Linked DNA regions of Drosophila melanogaster. The protein of the gene in region 2 interacts with the protein of the main gene of each other region in a pairwise test. Each region holds a gene or a part of one and is shown on either strand. Other genes may lie near its edges.

Region 1 (4,253 bases), on a different chromosome or scaffold from region 2:
TCATAAAAAACCTAGTACTCCCTAGGGATAACTTGAGATAACATCAAATTTGACTCATCGAGTGAATACACTTTATCATAATTAAAACAAATTTTTACTCAAAAATTGCAGCAGTTATCTACAGCATAAATTCGGAACTTGTGCTGGAAAACAGTTGAAAACCTGAAGAAGCATGTAAATGTACGTTTTACATGTACATTTTGTTCTATAGAAACTACAACAAATTCTAACAAGCATTATTTGCTTCATAAACAATTTTTGACAGTAATTGAGGTTTTCTTGGTGAAGAAGTTCTAACAAATAATAAGAAACCTAGGTGGGAATACCAAAACTATGATGGTCTAATCATTTTTGGCTTTAAGGTGTCAAGAGTGGGAACAATTGGCCCTTACTTTCATTATGGAAAGCACGTAACCGTGTTTTAAGCACCTCAAAAGAAACCGCATGGCGCGTTCTTAACATCCTAATTGTCTTGATTTCAGCCATAAAATTGACAATATCCAGCTATAAGTAACTCCGGTCGAGGTTATATTATACACAAATTGGGTTTTATGTTAACAGATCGTTTTACTGTCGCTATTGATTTATCACTGTACCGCTTAACATAGTATATGGATCGTAGACAAAATCGTTATTAAAATTATTATGTATCAATCATTTTATTTCGCGTAACTTTGTGAACATTCATCGTCGTTTGTTTTCTGAATGAACGTAGCAGCGTTTTCGCCCCTTGTTTCCTGTGCACAAAGTACATAGTTGGTTGCATGGTCGGTGAAATAAAACGTCAATCTACATATCAAACTCCTTAGCAGCACATACAGACTCTCTACGATGCGAACTTGGTTTCTCTAGAAGAAGAAGCCGAGAATTTTGCCTCCCAAATGTTTTCTCCTAGCCTCCTCGTGGTCCATGATGCCGCCAGAGGTGGTGAGCACAACGTAACCAAACTGACGCGAGGGCAACAGATTGTTGGTCCATTTCTCGATGTCGTTGATGGGCACATCGAAGCGGGGCGAGATGACGCCGCACTTGTTTAGCCTACCGGTCAGGTTGACAACGATCTTGCCGGAACGATGATCGTCGACGATCTCGAATTCGCCGATATAGCCATGCTTCATCATCACGGTCAGGAACTTGATGATCACCTTGGAGCAGGGACGCAGCAGCACCTGCCGCTTGCCACGCTTCTCGGCGTTGTTTATGCACTTCAAGGCATCGGCCAATACGTTCATACGCACCATGGCTGCAAAATGTTCGGGAACACAATTAGTCAAGAGGCAATAATCACAGAAAAAAAAAGATGATGTCTTGGGCTTTAATCGAAAGTGCAGACTTTGCCACCCCCATTGCTCTATAAAATCAGTCTACAAAACCAAGCAAAACGTGCTCAGAGCCTACTAAAAAAAAGTATCTCACTAAATTGCATATAACTACTATATAAGTAGTACTATGAGGTTGGCTAACAAAGCTTAAGCCCTATTAAATGAAAAACTAACTTGAAAAGTACGTAAAACTATGTGTACTACAAGAACAGATCAATTGACCACCTAAACAAAACATATCAACTTATGGAGCCTATACAAGTGTGGCATATGACTTATTGGAAAAAGGTTTCCCTAACACATATGAACCATTATGAGCATAATAAAGTATTCAATAAAAGTGGCTACTATTATAATACTCTAGATTTCTGGAGGGCAGGAGGCGTGGCGCCTTTTCGGAAATTCACGCGGACAGACGACGAATCGTTTTTTAATATTGATTATGATTTTTAACAGTTTTTTACTTCACTTTTTAAATCAGCGAGGAACGGAACATTGAATAAAAAAAGAAGCAGAAACAGCAAGTAAAACACGTGCAAAATAGCAAAGAAAAAAAAATGATACTGTCTGTGTTTCTGCGGCTGTGTGTGTGTGCGTACAAGTGGCTGTAAACAACAACTATTTCGGGTAAGTTTACCAACTAAACTGCGTAAAAATTTGTTTAATTTAGCCGGTTTTCGGTCGTGCATTCGATTCAACTGAATGCCCAACTTTTTGCCACAATTTAAAGCCGCTCACACCCACCCACACATGCACAACAACACTGTGCCACACACTTTGGCCAATTTTTCACTTCATATTCGTTTGCACATTAAAAAAATTATAACCAAAAAAATACATATATATAGCGCATGTAGCGAGGCATTTCATGCATTGTTTACACGGTAAACTGATCAGTTTTGGCACATTGGCCCACAGTAAAAAAAAATGGGTAATAAAAAAAACGGAGTTGGGTGGATTTGCACATGTTTCGGCCGGCGATCGCCGCCAATCTAATCTGGCTGAATTTTCGCGCTTAAAACGGGTCCAATGGAAGCGGCATTTACCTGGATTTGTTTGCAAAAACTGTTTTACACGACCGCTGCAAATAGAGGAAATAAAAGAGAGTTAAATACAATTTTGTTGAACAAAACTCGGAGTACACGTACTCACGCAAACGTGAAAAAGGGAAAAGAAAGGGAAACGGAAGGAAAAAGACGCAGAACAGTGTGGCCGCGTTTGTCGAATGTGTCTACGCTCAACGTGCCTATCGATAGTTAGCCGGACGCAGGCCGCGGTTGCTGGCTTGACTAAAATCGCTTCCAATTATTTGGAGCCCAACTGCCACTATGCATGTGAATAGACTTGAACGGCTTCAGAAGTAATCTTTGATATTTCTCTGATCCCCCCGAGCATCATGATCCCGTCTATATTTTTCTGCGTAGCCAGACTAAGGACCGATGTTTCCATTGGCGTAAAAAAATAAATAAAAAAAAAACAGCAGGCCTTAAGTGATAATTAAACGCTTTATTAACATAACAATTTATTTATATTTAAATTTATTTTAATTTGTTTCAATATTTCGCCATATTTGTATGTGTATTTTACGTCTCTAGAGTTGCACTAACATGATTTCAAGGGGTAAGAGCCTTGGTTTGGCAATAAAACAGAAAATAAAGTAATGATTGGTCCATTGAAACACAATTAAATACAAGTTGATTAAAGCACAAGTTTTAAAGTAGTTTCACATTGAAATAACGAATTTTGTGATACTATCCGTGTTTCAAACTATTATCTTAATACTATCGAATGGTCCTCCTATCGATATACAACGGTTCTTTTAGCCGGTAAAGCGTTGCTGTCAGCAGTTTTGCACCATTGAGGGATTTTTGTGGTCGCTTCAGACGGTCATACTAATTATTCATAAATAAACAAGAATGGCAAAACAGTAAGTAATTTGTTAAAAATAAACAATTTGAGCAGTTTTTTAAGGACCCGTTTCAACACCGTGCAGATATGGCCTTATTTTACCCGGCCAACAGAAGAAAGTACCTCTAAAACGAGTCGAAAGGCCCTCCATCTTCGACGAGAACAGCGACTCCGAGACCGATGATGACCCAGCTGCTCCTCAATTTCAGCCAAGAACCGGCGGCGTATCCATGGGTCCTAGTCTAATGGAACGCCGCGTGGCCCGCCGGCAGCAGGAGAAGGCCCTGGCCGAGGATCCAACCATATTCCAGTACGACGAGCTGTACGATGACATGGACAGCAAACGCGAGGAGGCCAAGCAGACGAAGAGCCAGGAGCCGCGGAAACCAAAGTACATTGGCCGGCTGATGGAGCATGCCGAGCGCAGAAAGCTGGAGAAGGAGCTGCGCATCGAACGGCAGGTGCAGAAGGATCGCGAAGCCGAGGGCGAGATGTATAAGGACAAGGACACCTACGTGACTGCCGCCTACCGCAAGAAGCTCGAGTCCATACGCCAGATGCAGGAGCAGGAGCAGCGTGATGAGTACCTCGAGGCCATTGGCGATGTGACCAAGCAAAAGGATCTGGACGGCTTCTATCGCCATCTATACGAACAAAAGTTGGGCGGTCCCGCCCAGCAGGATGTCGTCAAGCCAAAGACGGCGCCCACCACCGACGAGGTGGCATACAAACCCATTAAGGCAGAGGCTGTCAAGCATCGAAGCTATCGGCGACGTCGCCCCTCCGAGGATGAAGAGGAGCAGACTAAGAGCAAATCAGACGCAGCCTCGGACGCCACGAAGTCAACGGATCAAACGGAAAGCATACCAGCGCAGGCACATTTGACCAACAACATAGATGCCGATTCTGATTTTAGCATAGACGACTCCAGCGATGAAGAAGACGAGAAGGAGAATGAGAAGGAAAAGAATAAGCTGTCCCAGATCAAAAAGGAGGATAAGGACAAGGCTCCGGAAAGTTCAG
Region 2 (4,730 bases):
CTGAAGAGCTGCGAGGCGGAGCTGCTGCCCTTTTTCAAACTGCTCAAGGATTCCGATCCGAAGACCTACTGCGAGTGCTGCTGTTTCAAGGGATACGACTGGATGCCCAAGAGCAAGAATCTGGAGGCCGTGGATGCAATGGCTGGCGAGATCAAGGAACAGATGGGCGACGTACTGGTCAGGGCCTTCGCTCAACTGCACATTCATTCGCCGCAGGATCCACGCGCCTTTATTGCCGCCTATCTGATGAATCTTGATCGTAACGAGCAGGAAATGAAGGAGAAGCTCGTGATTTTCCAAGCAGATCCAGCAGTGCAACCCCAGGAGCTTTCGGATCCCACATTCAATTGCGAGGATATTTGTCCGAAGCCTGAATGATATCATTATTAATCCACGATTGTATTCGAATAATAACTTTAAATTGGCGAGCTAAGTACACAGAATTTATTGCCACCAGCGGAAAAATTTAAATGAAAAGCGGCTTTCTTCAAACATTTTATTAATTCAAAATAAACACGCAATACATTTTGGGACATATGGTTTTCTACGTAGTAGTAGTTATATTTAATCCTTAGGTTTTCGTTATACAAAGGAAATCACATATAGAGCTGTTATAAACCTTATATACTCGGTTTGCATAGCCATCTAAGATCGGGTAAACAATGCAGCTTGGATATAAAGACGGCGTACGGTGGCTATGATTTATTTCTTGCGACGATTACGGCGCCGGGTGTTGGGATCCGGTTCCTTCTCTGCAATGCCTGTAACGGTGCCACCCGCTATCTCGGTGTTGGCCAACTTTTGCTGATTGTCCAAAAAGAACATAATGTCGCGAAGCTGTTCCTTTAATTCGGTCACCTCGGCGTCGTGGGTTTGCTTGAACTCGTTGTACTGCTGTTCCAAGAGTTTGTATTTGCCGTGCCAGGAGCTCTGGTTGCTCTGCAGTGCCTTGGACAACTCACGCTCTTCGTTCAGCTGCTTCTGTACATCCTTTAGCCTACAAGAGCACGAAATTGGTTAATATTTGGTTAATTAGGAAAGGCGATGTGAATGTATTTCTTACTTAGCTGTATGCTGGGCCAACTTGCGCTCCAAATTGACCTTTTCTTTCTGCATGTTCTGCTGAAGCTGTTGAAGCTCGGAAACCTCTGTCTTGGCGTCGTTGGCAGTCGCCTTGTGGTTCTGCCACTCCTGCTCCAATCGTTCCATGCGCTCCTCATAGTACTTGCGCTGTGTGTCCAGCTGAGAGGTCAACAGGTATGTGAACTCCATCTGCATGGAGTCAATCTTTTCCTCGCGCTCATCTTTCTCGGTTTGCGATGCCACCAGCTTGCCGTCGGATTTGTTTTGAAATAAGCGATGCACAAAGTTGTCACCGGCATAGTCCCATACGCTTGAGGTGCCCAACTGCATGGCAAAGGTGTGATTTGTGGCCCGGAAGTGTGCAGCAGCATGTCCTCCCTGGTAGCGTCCGCAGCCCACATGTCCGCAGATCAGGCAGATCCATAAGGAATCGGTGCCCTCGCATTCCATGCACACGGAATCTTCGACCAGTCCAGGAGTTTGAACATGGCGGCACACCGGACAGGTGGAGTCACCCCATTTCATCAGGCAGCTGGCGTGGAAGGCGTGATTGCACAATATGGTCAACACTCCATCCACGCTCTCGTCCATGCGCTCCAGGCACACTGGACAGGTGGGTAGCTCGGTGTGTCCCATTGGTGGTGCTCCATGCTCGCTCCTTTCCACCTCTGATACCCAGACCGCGTGGCACAGCGAGTCCGGTTCCAGTGAGTTGTAAGTACTGCCATTATAGGACTTGTAGAACTCCAAAGCGGATTCATTCGAGCGGAATCTATAAGAGTGTGATTATATTAGTAAATATCCGTGAATCTGTAATGTCAGATTGGAACGCCGCTTACTCCAAAAGCACCATGAACTGATTGGGGCTGCCGTCACGTACAATCTGGATGTGTTTAATCTCTGCATGACAGGGGGCAATAAAGTTCAGCAGATCGTGGCAGTTAAGAGTGGCCGGCACGGCCAGCAGGCAGAGTTGGTTAGATGGAGCTTCCTTGATGGCCTTGCGTTCGCTGAAACATACAGAAATAATGGTGAGTGAAATATTTAGTAGGATAGAGCAGAGTTAACCCACTTTTTCTTGTAGAGATGGATAAGACCTTTGGTCACCTCGACGATGGGATTGCCGGAGAAGTACCCTATCTCTTGGGGAAAGTTGGAGGCGCTGGCTCCCGCCTGGCCATCATCGCCGCTCCGAGGAGTTATCTCCCGGGAGCTGCCCGCCGAGGGGCTGTTCACATGCTGCACGGCGGCTACCCAGTTCATCTCCTGCTGTCTGGGTTCACTCAATTCCCGCTTCCAACGCTGGTTTGTGTACGTTTCGATGGTGATGTCGCGGGATTGGCGAAGTCCGCGGTCGCGTTCCCGCTCCTTGAGCACTCGGGGATTGGTTGGATGTTCGGCGGACACAGCTCCCTCAGAATCTGTTCGAAAATATAGAATTAATGCACTTCCTTTGTCCGAAGCTATCGTTGCTGCATTGAATTTTACCTGCACTGGGATCCAAATCCGTTTCGATCTTGATCACACACAGGGAAATGTTTTCTAGCATGACACGGGCATAATTTTCATTAGTTTTTATATATAAAAAAAAGCCTAAAGACCGTTCAAAGTGTAATTTTCTATTTTACTCTGTGCGAAATGAGTTTGTTATTTTTCTATGTGAACTAGTTCGCGCGGAGTGAACGGCCATCGATTGCTTCGCGACAAAAGTGTTTAGTTCAACAATCGCTTATCGATAATGCCTACCAACACTGATTGTAACGTACCTGGATTCAAGTCCATCGAAATTCAAAAGATTAAAATATTAATTTCGTGCTCGGTTTAGCAGATTTTCATCGCCAATAGAGAAAATGTATATTTTTACTCGTATGAAATGATAAGTGAATGGAGCCAATAAAATAAAAGTGATTTCCTGTGGAACAGTGTGCTATGAAGTAACATACAACTTGTCGGCTTCGCTTGACAACTTCGGCTGTGGCCACTTCGGTCGGATCCGCTTGGCGAGTTGGCCAAAACAAAGCCAGTGCGTTGCTGTTGCTGCTGCGTATCGGACGTGTTCGGTGAGCCAGACTCGCGTCATCCGTGATTTGGGCCATAACAAAAACAAGTTTACGAAACTTACGTCGTCATCTCGTTCTTTCCCGCGCGCGTAAACCAAGTCAAAATAAAAGAGAAGCAAAACAAAAAGGCTGTCCAAAGGAAATTGCAACAAATCAAAAACCAAAAGCGAAAGCAAAAGTGAGTGCAATAGTTTTTTGTGATTTAATTCCATACCGTTTGCTGCAGTAACCATGGGCTGCGCCCGCGGTTAACACAACAAATTGATTACCATGGGCGCGGCGGACCAAAGTCGATTGTAATTGCAATTACCAAGATTGGACCACAAAGTACATTTAACCGCACACACACGTGCAACATTCAATGTATGGACGCGGCCGTAAAAACGGTCATCGCAAGGAGTCAACCTATTGATTTTTGGTATTATTTATTAAGGGGTTCGCCCATAAACCTGCTTACCAAATTCGCAACTGGCTCACCTTTCTCACAACCGCACTCATATGCTAACAAACAAGACCGGAGATCAAAAATAGCCGTGGGTGCACAGTGAGAAACATTTGTGCTGAATTACCTCTTTTAATATATTTACTGTCTATTACTATGTGTCTATGTGTCTTTACTGTCTATGTGTCTTTGTAGTTTGAAATATTAGTTAAACCTTAAATTTCATCAATCAATCATAACTAACTCAATCAATGAATGAAACTTTGCGTTTCCTTGCCAAATATTAATATTAAACGCTCTCACCACTTTTAAGTGAAAGTAAATTTAACCTTTCTATGCAAAATCTAATTTATAAATAATATAATCTCCATGGTGCCGCTTTTTTGGGCCAGTGCATGCGTGTGTGAGGACGTCAGCCCGTTTCTGGGTTGCTGCTGACAGCTGCCAAGTGCCAGGAGCTTGTCGTCAACAAGTCTATCAAAAGCACGTTTGTCATTTTTGTTGCACTCGCCCAGCCAGCAGGTGGCACCTCCCAGCGCCACCCACCCACTCCATCCACTCCATTCACTCCACCCACTCGGCGTCTCACTATGTAAAGCGTGTGTGTGTCTGAGAGCTGCTTTTGTGTTCGCCAATTTGAAGTTTGTTTGAAACTACATGTATTGCCCCCTCGCTGACATTCATCCCGCAACGGCGCTGAGCACTCTGCCATTTTCATTTGCATTTTCGCCGTCCCGCTTTTCCGCTCTCCGCCTTCGGAAGAAAATCAATTGTTGTATGCAATAAACGCAAGGCGAACGGAACGAAACGCTGCCAACCAGTTTTTGCAGCGGAGCCAAAATCCGTTTTCAGTTTACATAAACCGAGTTTGACTCAAAAAAGTTGGCAAAACCATGGTTTTTTGTTTCCCTCTTGCTGTTAAATTATGCACAGTTTATATATAACAAACGGTAAATAACTAAAGCTAAATAGTTTATTGATTTCCCAAAAATTTCTTAGCATCAGCTTTCGCTAATAAAATTTTATTTAATTTAACTATGTTTACTTTTAAACAAAGTGTGCTCAGCTACACACCTTTTGTGTTGAAGGAAACACTAATAAATACTTAATTTATTGAGCTTCTTTTAATTACCCCGCTTATCCTA
Region 3 (7,075 bases), on a different chromosome or scaffold from region 2:
CTGAAACCCCAATTAAGTTGATGGCTTTACGAGCTTTATCTTATCGAAACCCAGTCACACCACTCAGAAAAAATTGAAATGGGCAACCACATGAAAATACTGCATGGAAAAGAATGAATTCTTGAGTACAGCACGTTAGTACATATTACTATAGCTATAGTTGTTGTACTCAATTGATTATTAACCAGATAAAATTCGATAAAGAGTTTGAACACGATAACATATTAATACTTGAACCTGAAATCTAGAATATAACAAAGTTTATTTTCAAACCAAACCTGGCTCATTTTCGCTTTAAATGGATCAAACACGACTTGGTTCATTTGCTGAATAATAAAAAAATACCCAGCACTCCATCTGCTAATTATTTAATCTTATATCAGTTCTTATAGGATTTCTGTCCACTTATCTTATCGGTTATAGCCTATATATGTCCCGAAGTACATTTAAAGAGCTTTGAGGAACAGACCCTAATTAATCTAGAGTAAACGAGTACATAACCAACAAGTGTTGGATTTGGTGAAACAAGTTTTATGACCGATTCGGTGCGCTCATTAACACCTTTTTTGAGTAATGGCAGAAAAATGATCGATCCGCGCTTCTGGAGCGGGTGTTATGTTGATAAAATGGCAATTGAAGTGGAACCGGTTATTAAATTCTGTTTCACTTTCTGCAATAAAAAGGAAGAGTGAGTGCTTAATGAGCTTTCAATGGGGCTATTAAATTGTGATTAGTAATAAATGCAAGGCAGGCGGAGACGAACACGCCTCCAATCCCAGTCCCATTTCGTTTTTATTTATATTTTTATCGTACATTAAAGGACAGTCCCCCATTTCATAATAAAATACCCACTTGTCTGCCAGAACATAAATATTATTTTTGGGGCTTTGCTGGGTTAACAAAGGATAAAGGATTGTGATGTTTGCGAATACCAGATAAAATATGTAATAAGAGAAACTGAACAAAAAAAAGCAAACAAAAATATAATACTGCAGTTGGTATGCGCTTAAATTCAAACGTATTTACGAATAACTTCAGTAGTTGATATGGAGTAAACTTATAAACTTATTCTCGGAAGATAGACCTTTGACCTTTATTTTTCTGTGGCTTAATAATGCCAGCAACTAGTTAGTTACATATTTAGTTAGTTACATATTTATTATTATTTATATATATTGTTTACGATTGATGGAAGACTTTAGATTTTCACTTACAACAGATTTTTAATTTTTTTTGTTTATTTCTAAATTAAACCATTCATCGAGTTACAATTATGAGAGGTGATGATATCAGTGATGTAGTTTATTGAATCGAATCGGTTGTAACCGGTACATTTTTTTGCCTAAGATCTCTTGAAAGTTTGAATCTAAGGTATCGTTATATCTCCCTTTTCGTTAGGCGCGCATATCTCTCATTCGGTTTTTATTTAACGATTTCGATGCATGAATCTGCTGCAGCATCATAAATCACCGAGTGCACGCGCTGTTTGCATAAATTAAGCTTATGAACTTACCGCCAACATTAGCATACGCATTTGGCGCCTGCGCAGCTGCAACAGCTGATGTTGCTGTTGTTGCTGTTGTTTTGCTGGACAAAAGTACAGCAGCATGTCGCCCACTAACGTGCAAATGCAATTGGCACCTTTGAAGCTGGGGCAGAAACCGCCAATTCGTAACGCAAACGTGGGCGTAACCGTCGTAGCTGACCGCCGTAACTGATCGTCGTAGCAATGTCAAAGCAGTCATATCGGCAAATAAGGTAACGTAACCCACAAAAAGGTAACCAAAACAGAATAGAAGAGTGTGTGAGAGAGAGGGGTATACAAATACGTATACGTATATTACGTATCGTAATGAAGAGAGACAGAGAGAGAGAGAGAGAGTAGTAAGAATCCCAATCAGAATCAGCTGAGCTGGCGTGACGAGTGTGAGCTTTGCTTTTTTCGCTTGCACTTTTTAGTTATTCTCTAATTCTCAAGTGACTCACAACGCTTCTCTTGTTTTCTCCGGGAGATTTACTCGCGCGCAGATTAATTGCCCAGAAAAAAAACGAACCTGGCGGGTCGTCAACTAACAAATTCACTACTACGTAAAGTATTTAAATTAACAAACAAATAAACACGCAATTTACGTAATTAGCACAACAAACAAAGCAACAACAACAACAGCAACGGCAGCAACTAGCGCCAATTGGCACGCCAAAATCCAAACAGTGCCGTGCTATAAAGCTATATTATATATATATTATGGCTCCCGGATCGGTCGTCTTTATTGTTCGAGGCGACAAGCTGAACTGCCGTGAACTGGCGGCATCGTTCGCAGCTATCGCTTTTCCTCACAAGGTGCCCCATCGAGAGGAAAAGCGAAGTCTAAATTTCAATGCAACAATTCGTTCAAAGCTGCGGCTTGACATGCGTAAATGTGTAAAGCTATATGGAGGCAAAGTGTTATGATTTACAAAAATATTCATTTAACTACTTTAAAAATCAGTGCTATTGTTAGGATATTTAAGGAAAAGCATAAGCAATTGGTTTGTTTTTGATGCTATTTTTTGGCGAAAAGCTGAAAATAAATGGTGGCGGTCTAGGATGAAGTAGAAGACATTAGCCGAGACAACCACCCACGCAATTGGGCGTCTAGTCATTCCAATTGGAATATCCGTTTGTGTAGCATAAAAAGAATATACTCTATGATATAGTCATAGGGCAATATAAATCATAAATTTGTTTTTATAGTCTACGACACAAACATATTTTTAATTAAAAACCAAAAAAATTGTCAGTTTATATAAAAATTTATAAAATGAGTTGCAAGTGATGCTTTTTCTTCGACGTTTGTTTTGAAAAGCAAATGTGAAGCAACATTCTCGTTTTATTTATAATACATGATCAATTGATAGTTAAAAATGGATATCACTGAATTCTTTTAGCATTTCTATTTTCTACTAAGTTTTTCCTATATTAACTAGTAAATAAAATATTTTTTCGTCATCCGAGTCTACAATCGACAAAAATCTTAAGTTTTTACCTCATACTAAATCGAAAAGCTGCTGCCGCTCTGCTGCCTGTTTTGTTTGTTTTAGAATACAAGTTGTCACTTTATATGGTTATTTGTTCGTTGTTTGTGTTGGTATATTTTATTTCACCTGCCATTTAATTAACGAATAATTTAAGTCATATGTATATTTATACATGCACTTTAGTCGGTATACAATCCCTATTTAGCGCTTGAGCGCCGATTACCTTTGACAGCGGCCCACGCACAGGTACACATTCACATACAGGTGCTTCGATCGGAACGATCCGTCGTTATTAATCTATAAAACGCTATCAAAAGCCTGCACAAGTTCTTAATTGGCTGTTACAGCGGCTTTGACGATTTCGGGCAATGCCAAGTCAACTTGTCGCTGAAAACAAACAAACAAACAAACTACGCGGTATCAACTCACACTTGCTAGCACATGTATGTCATCATCATCGCCACCAATCATCATCACTATCGTCGTTATGATTCAGTGGATTGTCATGCCTGCTGGTGGATTTTTCTCCCAAAAAGTTCAGTTAAATTAAAAAAAAAAATGACCAATATGCAATTTCAGTACATTTTCGGTATTCTCAGTACTTGATCAGGTAACTTTTAAAAATTAGGAAGTACATCTTTCAAAAAACTAGAAATGGTTATATATGATTAGTGCATTTTTTTTTTAATTTAGCTTAAAAACAGCATACTTGTGATTTAAAAATAAAATTTCAAAAAAAGATTCAAAACGAGTTCAGTAACTTTCGCCCGCTTTAACTTTCTAGGTCTGAAAACATGATCCATTTTGAAAACCCAAATCCATCTGTGCTTGGCAATTTACTCCGCAAACAAATGACAAAATGAATTTTCTAACACCACGATAAACACAATAGATTAATAATCATATATAAAATAAAATAATAACTCAAGTCGTATAGTATTAAGTGGAAAACGATGTGTTTTTTACAGTGCAATCATTAACATTTGGAGCCCCGCGGCGGCGCCTCTGGGCGAAATGTTGTCACTGAGGCTCGAAGATTCTCGCTGGGCTTTCGCCCGGCACGTCGCTTCACCCATAACCCATAACCCATACCACCATACCCATGCCCACATCCACATCGAGCTCCGATGGCGCATTCCGCTGCAGACCGCCGGCCGAGGCAGTCGATTAAATAGTAACCTCCAAACGGCATTGTAAATTGGGAGTGGGAAATCGGCGAATCGCCAAAATAAACAAGCTACCAACTAGCCGCTTGCTGTTCAGAATCCGTTAATAGCTTTGTTTTCATTCTGGTTTTGTGCAGGTTTCTGTGCAGAACCCAAAAACACACAGTCAAAACCATTCCGAAGTCGAAAAAGTTTTTATCGCGAGTTTTGACCTCGACGTGAAAGTTTCCAGCGCTGCGTGCACGTAAGTACGAAAATCATTTTTGGCATTGAGAGCTTCTGTTTCGGCTGGTAATCAGAATAATTTCAGCTTAATTGCAGTTGGATATATAATACTCTGTAGAGAGCTAGTGCGCCATGGCGAACGTGAAGATAGTGGAGTCCAAGCTGGACATATTCCACGCACCGCAGACACATTCCTTGGCCCATGCCGTAGAGTCATCCTTTACGGCGGAACGGGGAACTCTCGCCTGGCAGTTTGCCCTGATCTACGGGGATGTGGATGAACTACGGCAAAGAAGTGTTTCCAGAGGCAACTGTGCCGTTCTGGAGCACAATGCCCGATTCATATACTATCTGGTGACCAAGTCGAGTCTCTACGAGGCCAGCACTTACGGCGATGTCCAGGCAGCTTTGATCTGCATGCGGGAGCATATGGTGAGTGCTTTTTAGCCGTCGTCTTGGTGGTGGAGTGGGGGTTTCCCGGCAAACAAGTGACATTTCCCCAAAGAGTAAACACAATTCGACGCTTGGGAAACTGGTTTCTTTGGTGCTGCCCTCGTCAATTTACAGTTAATTCATTTGTACATTGCGATACAGTGAGTATCTAAAAACAGTTCGCCCCTTTTGTCATCCAAAAGAATTTCGCTTGTGTCTCATGTTTAGTCAAAAAACGATTTCATGAAATGGGCATGCAGTTAATTTATGTGGACTTTGGGACACAGTAGCAATCGGACAAATGGATCTTCCCATCTTAGCGTCGATTTTTCTTTATAAAATATTATCATTGGGTTGAATGATAATTGAGCGAAGAGAAAGTAAAGTCAGCTTCTTTTTATACCCAATGTTATGTTTCTGACCCTATAAGCAATACGTACATATATTGTTGATCAGAATGACTAGCCGAATCAATCGGGCCTCGTCCGCCTGTCCGTCAAATTATGTGAAGCCCTCAGAACCAAATTGTCATCAAGTCCGAGGTTTTGAAAATAGTGCATTGGGCAATTCTCACTGTAGTGTCTCTGCAGCGCAACCATGAGATCACCAAAGTGGCTATGCCCCGAATCTGCTGCGGCAACGATGGACTTGAATGGAAGCACGTGAAGCGTCTGGTGCAGCAGACCTTCTCCCAGAGCGAGTATCCCATCGAGATACTCATCTGTGAGCACGAAGACATGTCCAAGGAGGTGAGCCATCCAACATGGCTTATTAACAAAGAACAGTGGGTTAATACTCAGATAATCCACAGCTGGCTGCTCCCAAGTGTCAGATTACGGAGGCCAGGGGGAACCTGTTCAGCGCCCCGGAAAACTACGCCTTAGTGCACTCTGTCAGTGCGGACTTCGCTATGTGTGCGGGCATAAATCTGCAGTTCCGCTGCAAATTCGGACAAGTGGATGAGCTGAAGCGCCAACACAAGCATACCGGAAATGTGGCAGTTCTGGAGCAGGATGGTAGACATATCTACAACCTGGTGACCAAGGAGCGCAGCCACGAAAAGTGCACTTACGCAGCTCTCTACTACGCATTGCTGGCCATGCGGGAACATATGGTAAGGAATTGTATTTTTAAGGGCTTACAGACCAAAACTGCATTACTAAAATAAAGAGAAAGGTGAAACATTATAGTTAGGATCAGGTTCACCAAACTGTATTAGAGCAAGATACTGGATACTAAATATGCTTGCTATATTCTCTCTTTCAGAGGGAGCACGGAGTGACCAAGTTGGCCATTCCCAGACTTGGATGCGGCATCGACCGTTTGGATTGGTTGCGCGTGCGGAGTCTGCTGGATCTGGTTTTCGCCGAGGATAGCGTGGACATAATTGCATTCTTCTACACACCGCCACAAATGGTTAAGGACACGTTGAACGTGGTTTGTCCCACCTGCCGGCACATGAAGACCATCCATTTGCCATCGAGGTCCGTTAGTGGATCAAGAAATTCGCTTCATCGCGAAAAGACTCCCTTTTAATGTATATAGCCATCTTTGTTTGACACTCGAAATGGTTTTGCTTGGGACTTGTGGCATCATATGCACCAAATACTTATATAGTTGATAAGAACGATACACCTAAGAGGTTTTTATAGCACACAAAGTTTCCATATTTGGTTATTTATACTGTATTTAATGTATTAATAAATAAAACACGTCCTCGAGAGGATATTAACCAAAGATTGGAGTTTTGATAAATACATATATATACCCTTACGAACCATTATCTAGTGTTATCGTATGACCAAAAATTAATCTAGTAGCTGCCTGTTACACTAAGTCAGACAGATCTAAAACCCTTATTTAAACTAAATGTATTCTCCCAAACTTCTAGAACTACGTAGCGCATTTCGGCGAGCTTTTGTAGTCGGAATGTCATCCAAACCTCAGTACACCCTAAGCGAAGTGGATGGGGATCTGTTTTCCGCCCCCAAGACCTATTCCTTGGCGCACTGTGTGGGCGCAGATCTTGCGATGGGTGCTGGAATTGCCGTGCAGTTCAAGAAGGTATTCGGAAGGTTGGACGAGCTGCAAGCCCAACAAGCGGGCAGTGGAGATATTGCGGTGCTGAAGGATGACCAGCGGTACATTTACTACCTAGTAACCAAGCCTCAGAGCTGGGGAAAGCCCACCTACGAATCTGTACAAGCATCTTTGGAGCAGATGCGTGAGCATAT

The links. The genes of interacting proteins can lie anywhere in the genome.
Region 1: the proteins of CG5555 (region 2) and RpS15Aa interact in a two-hybrid assay, tested with the Drosophila melanogaster proteins (one large-scale study listed by BioGRID).
Region 3: the proteins of CG5555 (region 2) and Targ2 interact in a two-hybrid assay, tested with the Drosophila melanogaster proteins (one large-scale study listed by BioGRID).

Annotation. Positions count from the first base shown.
Region 1 is NC_004354.4:13,335,137-13,339,389, forward strand, and holds RpS15Aa (ribosomal protein S15Aa), read right to left. Parts: upstream 2,503-4,253; 5' UTR 2,369-2,502; intron 1,244-2,368; 5' UTR 1,242-1,243; coding exon 849-1,241; 3' UTR 501-848; downstream 1-500. Other genes in the region: CG15747 (uncharacterized protein), read left to right, coding at 3,239-3,249, 3,316-4,253.
Region 2 is NT_033777.3:19,177,556-19,182,285, forward strand, and holds CG5555 (uncharacterized protein), read right to left. Parts: upstream 2,984-4,730; 5' UTR 2,866-2,983; coding exon 2,850-2,865; intron 2,768-2,849; exon of another isoform or gene 2,633-2,767; coding exon of another isoform or gene 2,626-2,632; coding exon 2,572-2,625; intron 2,505-2,571; coding exon 2,156-2,504; intron 2,094-2,155; coding exon 1,923-2,093; intron 1,856-1,922; coding exon 1,064-1,855; intron 998-1,063; coding exon 703-997; 3' UTR 530-702; downstream 1-529. Other genes in the region: CG14282 (uncharacterized protein), read left to right, coding at 1-378.
Region 3 is NT_037436.4:21,197,761-21,204,835, reverse strand, and holds Targ2 (terminal ADP-ribose protein glycohydrolase 2), read left to right. Parts: upstream 1-1,745; 5' UTR 1,746-1,758; exon of another isoform or gene 1,759-1,916; intron 1,917-1,953; exon of another isoform or gene 1,954-2,088; intron 2,089-4,147; exon of another isoform or gene 4,148-4,321; 5' UTR 4,322-4,541; coding exon 4,542-4,841; intron 4,842-5,431; coding exon 5,432-5,590; intron 5,591-5,652; coding exon 5,653-5,955; intron 5,956-6,107; coding exon 6,108-6,377; 3' UTR 6,378-6,575; downstream 6,576-7,075. Other genes in the region: CG10512 (uncharacterized protein), read right to left, coding at 1,514-1,745; Targ1 (terminal ADP-ribose protein glycohydrolase 1), read left to right, coding at 6,711-7,075.